3 linked regions of the Rattus norvegicus genome follow. The protein of the gene in region 3 interacts with the protein of the main gene of each other region in a pairwise test. Links are inferred from orthologs where the notes say so. Each region holds a gene or a part of one and is shown on either strand. Other genes may lie near its edges. The genes, in order: Taf13, Gtpbp10 and Mtus2.

Region 1 (3,742 bases), on a different chromosome or scaffold from region 3:
CACACTTAGCTCTTTGATAATTTTAAAATGTTTTACTTATTACTGTGTATGGAAGCCAGAGGACAGCCTTGTGGAATCTGTCTTCTTACCTTTCACTTTTTATATAGGCCCAGGGATTAAACCTGAATATTAGTCTTATTCCGTGAGAGCTTTCACTGACTGTACCATCTCTCCCGCACATCTTTTGTAATTAAAAAACCAAACCCAAACCCACCCCCCTCATAAAACCCAATGTACACACACACACACACACACACACACACACACACACACACACACACACACAAAATTACGGAGGCAGGAAAGATTGCTCTGCAGCTAAGAGCATTGGCTGCTTTTCCAAAGACTTGAGTTTGATTCCCAGCCCCTACATAGCGGTTCACAATCATCTAACTCTAGTTTCAGGGAATTAGTTGCTCTCTTCTGGCCTCTTTGGCGCTGCGAACACATGGTACACATGCGTGTCTGCAAAACACTCATATACATAAAGATTATATATATATTTTTAAAAAGTATATCTATGTGGGCTTGTGTACTTGAATGCATCAGCCCCAGAGGCAAAAATTCATCATATTCCCCTGGAGCTGGAATTACAGGCATTTGGGAGTCTCCATTAGTATGCACAAATTTATCATTTATGATTTCTGAGATATGGGCTCATGAAGCTTGAGTGGTCTCGAACTCTAAGCTCTCTTGCCTCGGCCAAGTGCACGGAATTTTTTCGGTATAGTACACCACGCCTGGCATCTTTGTAATTTTTAATCCCTTCTTCAGGATTCCACGCCTAAGTACGCGTCACTGATTTTCAGCCAATCTCAAGGCCGGGGTTAGGAGAATGAGAGTGCACACCCATCTGCGCAACTCCGGCCAGGCCGGAAGTGACGCACATATCTTATAAATCTTGCGAGCCGCCCTTGGGCGGGCTCAGAAGGCTGGCGGGCTGCTAGCATGGCAGATGAGGAGGAAGATCCCACCGTGAGTGAGCGCCCGTCACAGCCTGTTTCCTCACTCCCTCTGGCTCACTAGCGGAGGCAGAGTCTGACCCTCCTGAGCCTTAGGGAATCCCGCCGAGAGTTCGGGGTCTCCGCGGTGTTTTCCTCTTCCTTCGGTTTACCTTAGTCAGTGCGTGGGGCAGGAAGGGAAGGAAAAGTAGACAGGATCTCCTTTTGATCTGGATCTTCCTGACACTGAGAGTCTAGAGAGTCATAGGAGATCAAAGCAAATACTGCGGAACCAGCAGCCCATCTGCTAACAAAACTAGTGAAAATAGTGGAGAAAAGATGAACTAAAGTCAGGAAGTTTGAGATCCAGATTCTCCTTTGGAGTTATTTAACTTAAGGCATCGGTTTTCTTGTCGTGAGATAGGGTCAAGCCCAGTTAAGGAAAGTTTTTAGCCCTGTATTGACAGGTGCTTAGTAAATGTTGCTTCTGATGGCAGCAGAGAGTAGATTTTAAACTATCAGGTCTTTTACAGTAGTAGCATTGCTTAGCAGTATGACAACTAAATGGGCTAAAACCAAACCCAGAACCTGACGTCCATTTGAACTTCACACACACACACACCCCGGGTAGGGTTGTTAGTTAGGAGCCGTAATAAAAGACTTCTTGCACGACTTGAGAAGTGGAATAGGACATAAGAGCCCTCTGATGCTAAGTTTCTATGACTTTGTGCTGTTTGCCTTAGCTTACCACTTTTGAAAATGCAAAAGGGTCACTGGGCATGGTGGTGCACACTTTGAATCCCAGCACTCAGAAAAGGATCTCTGAGTTCCAGGCAGACGGGCACATACCTTGTCTCAAAAAAAAAAAAAAAAAAAAAGTCTAGAGATTTTGCTTTAGTGCATCTGGCTACCTACAGCAGTTAGACCCCTTTTTTGGCCTCTACGGGCATTTGCAGGCATAGTCAATGTAGGCACACACAATACATATAAATAATAAATGTCTTTCAAAAAAAGATGAAAAGGGCACTGGAGTGTAGCTCAGTGGTCAATTAACTGTTTAGAATCGTGAGCTCCTAGGTTCAATTCATAGCACTCAAAAGAGAGAGCAGGAGGAGACTCTGGAGAATATCACGTGCACTGCCATCATTTGACATTTCTGTATTTTTAAATTTCTAGTTTGAGGAGGAAAATGAAGAAATTGGAGGAGGAGCAGAAGGTGGCCAGGGGAAGAGAAAGAGACTTTTCTCTAAAGAACGTAAGTTGTACTTTCCAATGCTTTTATTACAGGTGGTGAGAGCTTTTAAACATGTCCTTGGAGAGTAGGTACATTGCTCTGCATATGTTTGCTTAGAGGGACAGTGTTCTCAGACTTGCCTGTAAGGTTGTTTTTATTCCTGTTTGTTTTTGCTTTTTTTTTAAAAAAAAATTATTTTATGTATATGAGTACCAGAAGAGGGCATCAATTCCATTACAGATGGCTGTGAGCCACCATGTGGTTGCTGGGAATTGAACTCAGGACCTCTGGAAGAGCAGTTAGTGCTCTTAACTGCTGAGCCATCTTTCTAGCTCCCCTTGTTTTTGCTTTCTTTTTTTTTAAAGATAGGCTCTGCATAGGCTTGGCTATATTGGTGCTCACTGTTTAGCCCAAGCTAGCTTTGGGTGGCGGTAGTCCTCCTGCCTTAGCCTCTCAAGTATTGGGATTGCCGGTGTGCCTCCTGTGGTTGGTATAAGTCTCTTTATCATGTATACTAATTCTCTCTTTGTGACGTAAAATAATGAATGTGATTCCCCCCCACCCACACATACACTTTGAGGTGGGTTTTTTTTATTTTATTTCTTTTAGTTTTTTTTTTTTCCTTTTCTTTTTTTTTTTTTCGGAGCTGGGGACCGAACCCAGGGCCTTGCGCTTGGTAGGCAAGCGCTCTACCACTGAGCTAAATCCCCAACCCCTCTTTTAGTTTTTTTTTAAGATTGATTGATTGATTATAATTACACTGTAACTGTCTTCAGACACACCAGAAGAGGGCACCAGATCTCATTACAGATGGTTGTGAGCTGCCATGTGGTTGCTGGAAATTGAACTCAGGATTCCTGGAAGAGCAGTCAGTGCTCTTAACCACTCAGCCATCTCTCCAGCCCTCTTTGAGGTTTTTGAGACAGGGTTTTTCTGTGTAGCTCTGGCTGTCTTAGAGCTCATTCTGCAGATCAGGCTAGTTTTGAACTCACAGAGAGATACATATGCCTCCACCTCTGCCTCTGCCTCCTAAGTGCTGGGATTGACACTGTGAACCACAGCCACCCAGCTGAGGCAGGGTTTTTATATCCCAGTATGGTTTCAACCTTGGTATGTAGATGAGTATGACCTTGAACTTCTCCTGTCTGTATCCCTCGTGCTACACATAGGCCCATATGTCATGATTCCCAGTTTGTTTAGCTAAGGATTGACCCTAGTTGTGTGTGTTAGGCTAGCACTCAGCTACTAACTGAGCTACATTCATTGCACCGCTGCCCCTCCCCCTTTCTGTTTTTTTGTTTGCTTTGTTTTTGTTGTTGTTTTTCCCTTTCTGTGTTTAGCAGGGTCTCATGTACCCTAGATTGGTCTTGTATTTATTACGTAGCTGGGGATGACTATGATGTTATATTCCTCTTGTGTCCACCTTTCAAACGATGTAAGTTGAGGCTTTGGACTAAGGCACTGATCAGGGCAAGAAAGTGAAGTCTGGGGTACTAACAGTGTCGTTAACCTTCCATCATACTCCTTAGGCAGACAAGTTAAATCCTTAGAGCAGCAGGGTGAGCTG
Region 2 (3,748 bases), on a different chromosome or scaffold from region 3:
CTTTTCCCTAGCTGGAACCTGGCAAAGGCTAGTCTTGGAACTCTGAAAATTGCAAAGTTACGGGCAGTCTGCTACATGCCTGCGTGCTAGACTAGAAAACAGGGCTCTGGTTTATTCGTGTAGATAAGGTTCTGCATCCTATACAATAAGATGAGGAATTTGTGAAAGGGGCGAGTCCTCGCATATGGGAAGAAAGGAAAGTAATTTCACCAGACCAGGGGATTTTACAAAACGATCTTCTTGTGCCAAATCACCAAGTCAGCCAATTTTGCTCCTTTTCTATGCAGGTGTCCCTTTCTTCTGAATGGTATATTAAAACAATTTCACTTTTTATTAGTTTCCTAACTGTTATCTTGTTCCCACATTTTCACACCTTAACAGGACAGCTTCTTCGCCTCTTATTAAAACACCATTTGGAAGTACACTGGGTGGAAACTACTGCTCTGTCTAGATTCCTTTACTATTCGAGGGTCTTTTTCTGATGCTTCCTCCCCAAGCTGCAATGTAATCTCTCGTGTTCTCACAAGGGCAGCCTTCAAATGATAGGTGAAAACTCTTGGCTGAGTCCAGATTGGGGTTTTTGTTTATTTCCACTGCAAACATGATTCTTTGTGCAGATCTAGATCGTTGCGTTTCTTTTAATACGCCTGTGCTACAAGTTTTAAGTGATTGGTTCCTTGAAGTTAAAACCTTAGCTAGAAAAATTACTCAGGTCGTCATCCAGCAGTCTTTTAAGGCTCTCCGTGTCTTACACACGTTTTTGTTTACTCCTGTTGGAGGGTTCTTCACCTCGAGAAAATCCTGGCACCTCAGGTTCTTCAGCTACCATAAAAATGTTTGTGAAGCAGGCCAGTCTCCTACGCACAGCGTTTAACTAAAGAGACTCCTACCCTGAGCTCTGCTGTTCTTTGCACACAACTTAGAAGAATCTCACTTCCCTTTGCACTCCCCTTTCTACACTGGGAGACTCCGAGAACTTCCAAAGCACACGCCCACCTTCCGCGAGGGCACTGGACTACGCACGCGCGGATCCGCTGAGACGTCACCTCGGCGACTAGTAGTGACGTCAGAAGGCGCGCCTGGCCGAAACCTGTCCGGATTCTGCGGGCGGGAGTCCTGCCCCTTGGAGCTCATGGTGCGCTGTGGTTGCGCGTTGTTGAGAAAGGTCCGTGTCAGGGGCTCATCCCCCAGCTTTGCTGTCTCTCGCCGCTCTTCTCCTGGGTTCCTTAATTCCCGCTGTCCTGGGAGAAGACTGTCTCTGTAACATGCTTACCCCTGTTTGGGGTCCAGCTATAGGGAATTCCTATAATGTTCCCCAAAGCACGTGGGAGGATAGTTGGGCTACCTGACTGCGGTTTAGACTCGGCATTACGGTGTACGAGCCGTGCAGAGGCTTTTTTCTGTGTTAGTTTTGGTTCTCGTTGTTTAAAAGACTGTCCATAACCTTCTTTTATACGTTTCCCCTCCTTGGCACTGCTTTTAATATTTTTCTGAAGACTTTTTCTGGAAGCCAAAGTGTGTAATTGCTGTACTGCGTACAGAAATTTTACGTCAGTTTTTATGTAATGCCTGATTTAGAATCCATTTTTATAACAATCTGCAACCAACTGCTTCGATTAAAAAAAAATCACAGTGAGCTAACTAGCAACAGTTTGTGAAAGTTAGAAGTCACCTTATTACATAAACTGTTGTTATTAACAGCCATTTAAGATTGCAGCTCTTATAAATGAGCTTCCCCAAGAAATATGACAAATCTAAAGAATAAAGGAAAAGTCACACATTGAGTACAGCTTTAAAAGCCCTTACCAAGAATATCTCAGGGTGGTCAATCTTCAGTTTTTTTAAACCCACAGATATTTTTGATACCCAAAAATATTGCAAGTTGACAAAAATGTGAATATTAATTTACTCTGTAATTTGAAAGCCTGGGATTAAGACACAAGAGCTTTATAAGAAGTTACTTATGTAGTGAGGCTAACTAAATGTTGATTAAGAACCAGAAGGTATAATACAATGTCTGTGAAAGCCTGCAAAGCCAGAGAGTCAATGAGAGCGATATTTCAAGGATGGCTCAGACCACAAAACCATAAACCACAGTTTAGTTGTATTTGAGGATACATTGAAACTCTGACACCAGAAAATGGGTTTATGATAGAACAAATGATAATCTGTGTAGAGGAGAAACCATGACTAGAGTGGCAGAGAGAGTGGGCAGCTCAGAAAAGAACAGTAAAGCTCCAACAAGTGATGGTCACCCTGGTGAGATCTGCTGAGGGTTTTGAATACAGCACTGTGAACTTTATTATTTCATAAGCAGTAAAACCCCAAAGTCACGATTGTTTCTGAGTAAAGAGAAACATAGACGTCAGGTTCACTTAAGGGGAAATAAAGATGCTCTTGGCTCCTGGTGGTGTGTGCATTAAGAAGGAATGACGAGACCCTGAGAGACCATTTGGAGTTAACAGTCAAGGTTCTAAGGGAACAGTGATTCTGGAAAGGAGTTAGGCTTCTTGGAAAGCAAAAATTACAGTAAAAAGATATCCGTTTGTTCAATCTAGATGAGCAGATAATTAACTGAGGGAACAGCTTTTTGTTGCTGTTGCTGCTGCTTTTAGAACATTTTGTTTGGAGGGATCCATCCAGTGGCTACCCACCAACAGGTTACTCATTTAAAGGGTTTTTCATGTAAACAGAAGGCAGTTCTGCTTTCAGTTGTTTTAAACACTTAAAAGCTTAACCTTTTCACAGGGGAGCATTACTAGTACCTACTGAGGTCACCCTGAAGAGAAGGTTTAGAATGAAAACGGGAAAGGGCAGACTCCTTGAGGCTAGGTGAAGCATTTGATCATTAAGGGAGAGAGAGTGGGAAAGGAGGTAGTGCAAGAAAGGGCTATACATACAGGTGCTATACAGACAGCTTTGATTCTTTCCTCAAAGAAGCCTCAGTAGAATGAAACCAGAACCTTTTAAGTTAATAGAATATTTGATATATAAATATCCTCTCTTTCTCTCTCATTTTCTTAAGTATGGAAATTTCATTGATAATCTAAGAATCTTCACCAAGGGAGGAAGTGGTGGAATGGGCTACCCTCGTTTAGGTGGAGAAGGTGGAAGAGGTGGTGACGTCTGGGTTGTGGCCCATAAAAATATGACCTTAAAACAACTTAAAAACAAATACCCTCAGAAACGGTTTGTGGCCGGAGGAGGAGCAAACAGTCGGTAAGTGCTTATGGGGTGGTTCTCAGCTTCATGAAAGTCAAACTCTTCTGGGGAAACCAGAATATAGAGCTTTACTAATAACTCAAATTACCTTCTGTATTCTCATCAAGCATAAGTCTAACATGACTATTTTGGTGGGTTTGACCTTTGTCCATTTACTCTCCCAGTGTCCCTTTTCTATTTCCTCCTGGGAATAGATGTTATCTGAATCCGTACTTTGTTCCAAACTTACCTTGGGCAAAATTTCAGTAGTGCCCCAGCGGCTCCCTACCGTGGAGAGGCTTTCATTTATAGTTCTTCCACCCAGATATAACCACTAGCCAGTTGGACTTGACTTTTCTAATACATTTCTGTGGTTTTACAAATGTAATCATGTGTTTGTGTATAAAGTCCAGCATAAAGAAATAAGATAACAGAGCACAGTATTTTACAATGCCCTCTTCTTTACTTAACCTTTTCATGCCTAAAATTATTCAGAAAGCTGTGTATCACAGTATCAGAGTTAGCATTTTATCATTGCCAGTTTAGG
Region 3 (3,748 bases):
TAGCAATGGAATCCTCCCTATTTAAAAAAGAACCCAAAACTACAAAACCACATAAATACATGGCCAGTGTCCCCCACCCCGGGGCCTCCCAAAGTAAGTCCAGGTGAGGGACCAGAAGCCCAAGATTCCCAGCCTCTGGGTCTCAGTCCGCATGTAAAGGGCTGCAGAAGTTTCCAGCCAGCACTGAGATCTCTAGAAAATTGCTAAACATAGCAGTTATCTACTCCAGCCATCCTCCCCAGTTCTTATCTCCCATTCACAAACGACCGTCCCTGCTGCTCCCTCTAATTGGGCAGCAACAATTCATTAGAAAGCCTCGGGCGTGTGTGTGTGTGTGTGTGTGTGTGTGTGTGTGTGTGTGTGTGTGTGTGTGTTGTGCATCCACATGAGCCTAGGTCTTTATACATCCTCCCCCACGGTTTCAGCTCTGACAGCCTAGTTCCGTGTCAATTATGTAATAGCCAGAGCAGAGAGTTTAACGGAGTACCAGAAGCACCACCGTCGTGGCTCTTACATAATCTCCCATAAAGCCTCGGTAAGCCCGCCCCCAAGGTATGGAAATGTACACTTATAAAAGATGCCAGTTTTCCCTCTGTCCTTAAAAATACCGAAAAGGCTTGCACCTGATTGACTAGTTTGCATTCCCATATAGTATATGAAATCGTCCATTCAGTGAGAAAAATAATCCTTGGTGAAACTTGATTTTTTTTATTATGCAAACAAAAGAAGACGCTCCCTCTCCCCAAGACTACTGAACTTTCAGGGTTTCCTCTGCGTAATGTACTGTACCCCACACTAAGACTCCCATGGGTACCCTTTGTGGAACTAAGGGTCCCTGGTACACACAGCTTTTCTTTGCAAGAAAAACAAGCAGGAAAATCACTTAAATGAAAAGAGACATGGGCTAAAATCTATTAGCTTCTCTCCAGTCCAACACAAGTTTCTCTCCCTATACACCACACGCATGGCTGTGGTACCTCGAACCCACAGAACCACACCTTACGCTGCACTGAGACTAAACGAAACCCGAAGCAATACCCACCAAACAGTCTTAGCCCTGACTACACATGTCAAGCACCAGAAAGCCAGACACATAACAAACGCCATCACCAGAAGCCAGTAGGGACAGAATGTGCATCTGATGCCTTCCACTTTCGTCTTTATACCTGAAAAATTACTGTACGTGTGAGCAGAGATCTTTATTAGCGATCAACTCACAATTAGCCGTGCCCACGTGACAGCAAAATAAACCTAACAGTTTAAAAGCCAAAAAGGCTATGTGACGGGGGACCTATTTCTTTAAATCACTTCCCACCTATTTCTTGTCAGAGACGTCCCACTGGTTTTCATAACAGACTTCATAAAAACCTGTTTTGTGTCTTAACGCTTGAGATTTTACCGTATGATTTTTTTTTTTTTTTTTTTTTTGGAAAGGACCTCGCGTCGCCTTTAAATGATATCGAAGCCATCGTATGCTTATCCTGAAGGAAAGTTTTGATCTAGGACAGAAATTATGGCTCTGACTTCCTGCGCTCTTACGTTCTCTGGTAACCGCTCCTAACTTTACCAGATACCAAATATTCCTGTGAAGCACTTACATAACAAAGAGTGCAGGCGCCTCTGGCACGCCGCCAAGCGTACTTCTCTGGGTGTTTGTATCTAAAATAGAACGGTAGTAACATCACTTGCAAGCCTGTAGTTCCTTTCCCTGCACAGACTCGGAATGAAGGGGGTTGAAAAAAAAATGGATGGAGCAAGCCTTACCATTCTAGAGCTCCAAGGAAATAACACATCGGTGCTAAATTAAGACGAAGGCACGGACCGAATTATCCCGAGCTGGGGGTGGAGAGGGGTGGGAGCTCGTTTAGGCTAACCCGCTGTCGCCTCTGAAACACCGTGCTCAACCTGGCATCCCCGGAAGGTGCGAGTGGGCTGCAGCCTCTCTCCGGCGGAGCAGAAGATGTGGGCAGCGGGGAGCGGGCGCTCTGATGCCAGAGAAGCCAGGGAAAGGCACCGCCTCCGCCCCGCTCTGCACCTGTCTCCAGCCAGATCGGGACGCGCGGACGACAGTCGCTCACCTGAGTCTGGAGGAGCCAAGAAGGATGTGCAGAGAGACCAGGGCAGCCTCCGGGAGCATCCCCGGCCGGGCTACCTCCGCTCGCAGCTCCTTCGCAGCTGGAGTTTGCAACGCGCCCACGCGTCCAGACTCCTGACCCACCCGGGTCTTCTGCAACTTGACAGAGCGCGGGCAGAGGTGGCGCAGGTGGCGAGCTTGGGGCACCAGGGTACCTGGGGCCGTGGCCGCAGCCAGCCCTCCGCCCGCGCACTTCACCGCTGGGCACCGCCCAGGCCACCCGGCTCCGATTACAGGGATGGCCCGGGCTGAGGACGCCTCGCCGGACAAAGACGCCGCTCCCGCCCACCCTCCAGTGAGGTGCCGTCCGCGGTGACAGAAGCCGGGTTGCAGCGGCCCAAGGCGCGCACCCCCTCCCGGCCGCCCGGAGATGCTCACGAGCCCCGGCGCCTCCTCTCGGCCGGAGCCCCGTGGGGGAACCGAGCGCCCTCTGCCGGCTGGACACGACCCTGCACTCACGGGACCACAGTGGCCCTGAGCATTCAGCCTCAGACCCCAGGGAAAGGGGAAACAGCCTGAGGTCGCCGACCTAGAGCCCGGACTCCCACGAGTGGGATGTGCTGTGGTCCAATCGGAAGAGAGAGCCTCTTTTAATTACGTGCGGCAAGAAGAGCTGGGGTCCGGCGGGAGAACTTGGAAGGGAGGTAGGGGGGCTGATGGACAAGAGACTAAAGTGGCTGTGAAAGGGTTTTGTGTGAGAGGCTGTGTGCGGGTTTGGCGGGGCTGCGGGGTGAGGTGGGGTGTCTTTTTGTTTGAGGCAGGATCTCACTTGGGACTCACAGATATCCTCCTGCTTCTGCCTCCAATTCTGGGGGCAATGCGTAGCCGGCTACCCACTTGAAAGACTCTTGGCTCAACGCGAGCTTGTCTGCTTCGAAATGCACACCATTCCTCGGAAGTAAACATGAACGCGGGACTTCTCAGTGGCTCTTCCAGGTCGCCTGAAAGCAGCGCACCTGGGAAGCCTGAAGACAGCTTGAGGGCTTCAGCAGCCTCTGGTTCCCAAGGCTTGGGACAGACTGGCAGAGAAATGACTACGAGGTGCTAGCAGAATGGGCTTGCTGATTCGCTTGCTCGCTTTCTCTTGGGGGTCGAGAGTGTGGGAAACTGCGCTCCCTCCCCCACCCCAGCACTGCTGTGCCGAGCAACATTTTATACCAACTGATTTTTATTTTAGTTATTTACTAACTGGTCTATATACTGAAGAGAGATCATGAAAGAGCGCTTTTCACACGGCTGTCTTTTTACATTATTCTATGTGGCTTCCCATTTCTTCTGGAAGAATCTAGGGCACATTTTATGGCTTTTCCTGTCACCTTCGGGTGTTAACAAGCGGTCTGACTGGCTGTTATTACAAAGTCCAGTCTAATCTAAATCAACCTTTAAGCGCATTTCATTTAAGCCTTCGTCCTTCCCTTCCCCTAACTCACAAACCCCCAGCCTGACTTAAACCTAGAAAGATAGAAAAGCCTCCTGCAAGCCCTTCACTTTCCTATTTGGGTGTTCTGTAAAGCTTGGTGTCTCCTAGGTGAAAGGAATGAGGTCTGGACGCTACAGCTCCTTCCTCGGGCCACTCTCACTCCTCCGGGGATGCATGCCCCGCCCACAGGCAAA

The links.
Region 1: the proteins of Mtus2 (region 3) and Taf13 interact in binary tests that used the Homo sapiens proteins (3 or more experiments, as listed by UniProt). The two-hybrid records come from large-scale screens. The link is inferred for Rattus norvegicus from reciprocal best matches to the Homo sapiens genes MTUS2 and TAF13.
Region 2: the proteins of Mtus2 (region 3) and Gtpbp10 interact in binary tests that used the Homo sapiens proteins (3 or more experiments, as listed by UniProt). The two-hybrid records come from large-scale screens. The link is inferred for Rattus norvegicus from reciprocal best matches to the Homo sapiens genes MTUS2 and GTPBP10.

The regions. Positions count from the first base shown.
Region 1 is NC_086020.1:198,892,427-198,896,168, forward strand, and holds the start of Taf13 (transcription initiation factor TFIID subunit 13), read left to right. Parts: upstream 1-905; 5' UTR 906-948; coding exon 949-975; intron 976-2,117; coding exon 2,118-2,196; intron 2,197-3,742. UniProt on the Homo sapiens protein: The TFIID basal transcription factor complex plays a major role in the initiation of RNA polymerase II (Pol II)-dependent transcription.
Region 2 is NC_086022.1:29,430,627-29,434,374, forward strand, and holds the start of Gtpbp10 (GTP-binding protein 10), read left to right. Parts: upstream 1-1,056; 5' UTR 1,057-1,132; coding exon 1,133-1,165; intron 1,166-3,025; coding exon 3,026-3,219; intron 3,220-3,748. UniProt on the Homo sapiens protein: May be involved in the ribosome maturation process. Complements an ObgE(CgtA) function in E.coli ribosome maturation. Plays a role of GTPase in vitro. When missing, disorganization of the nucleolar architecture is observed.
Region 3 is NC_086030.1:12,112,066-12,115,813, forward strand, and holds the start of Mtus2 (microtubule-associated tumor suppressor candidate 2), read right to left. Parts: upstream 2,439-3,748; 5' UTR 1,765-2,438; intron 1-1,764. UniProt on the Homo sapiens protein: Binds microtubules. Together with MAPRE1 may target the microtubule depolymerase KIF2C to the plus-end of microtubules. May regulate the dynamics of microtubules at their growing distal tip.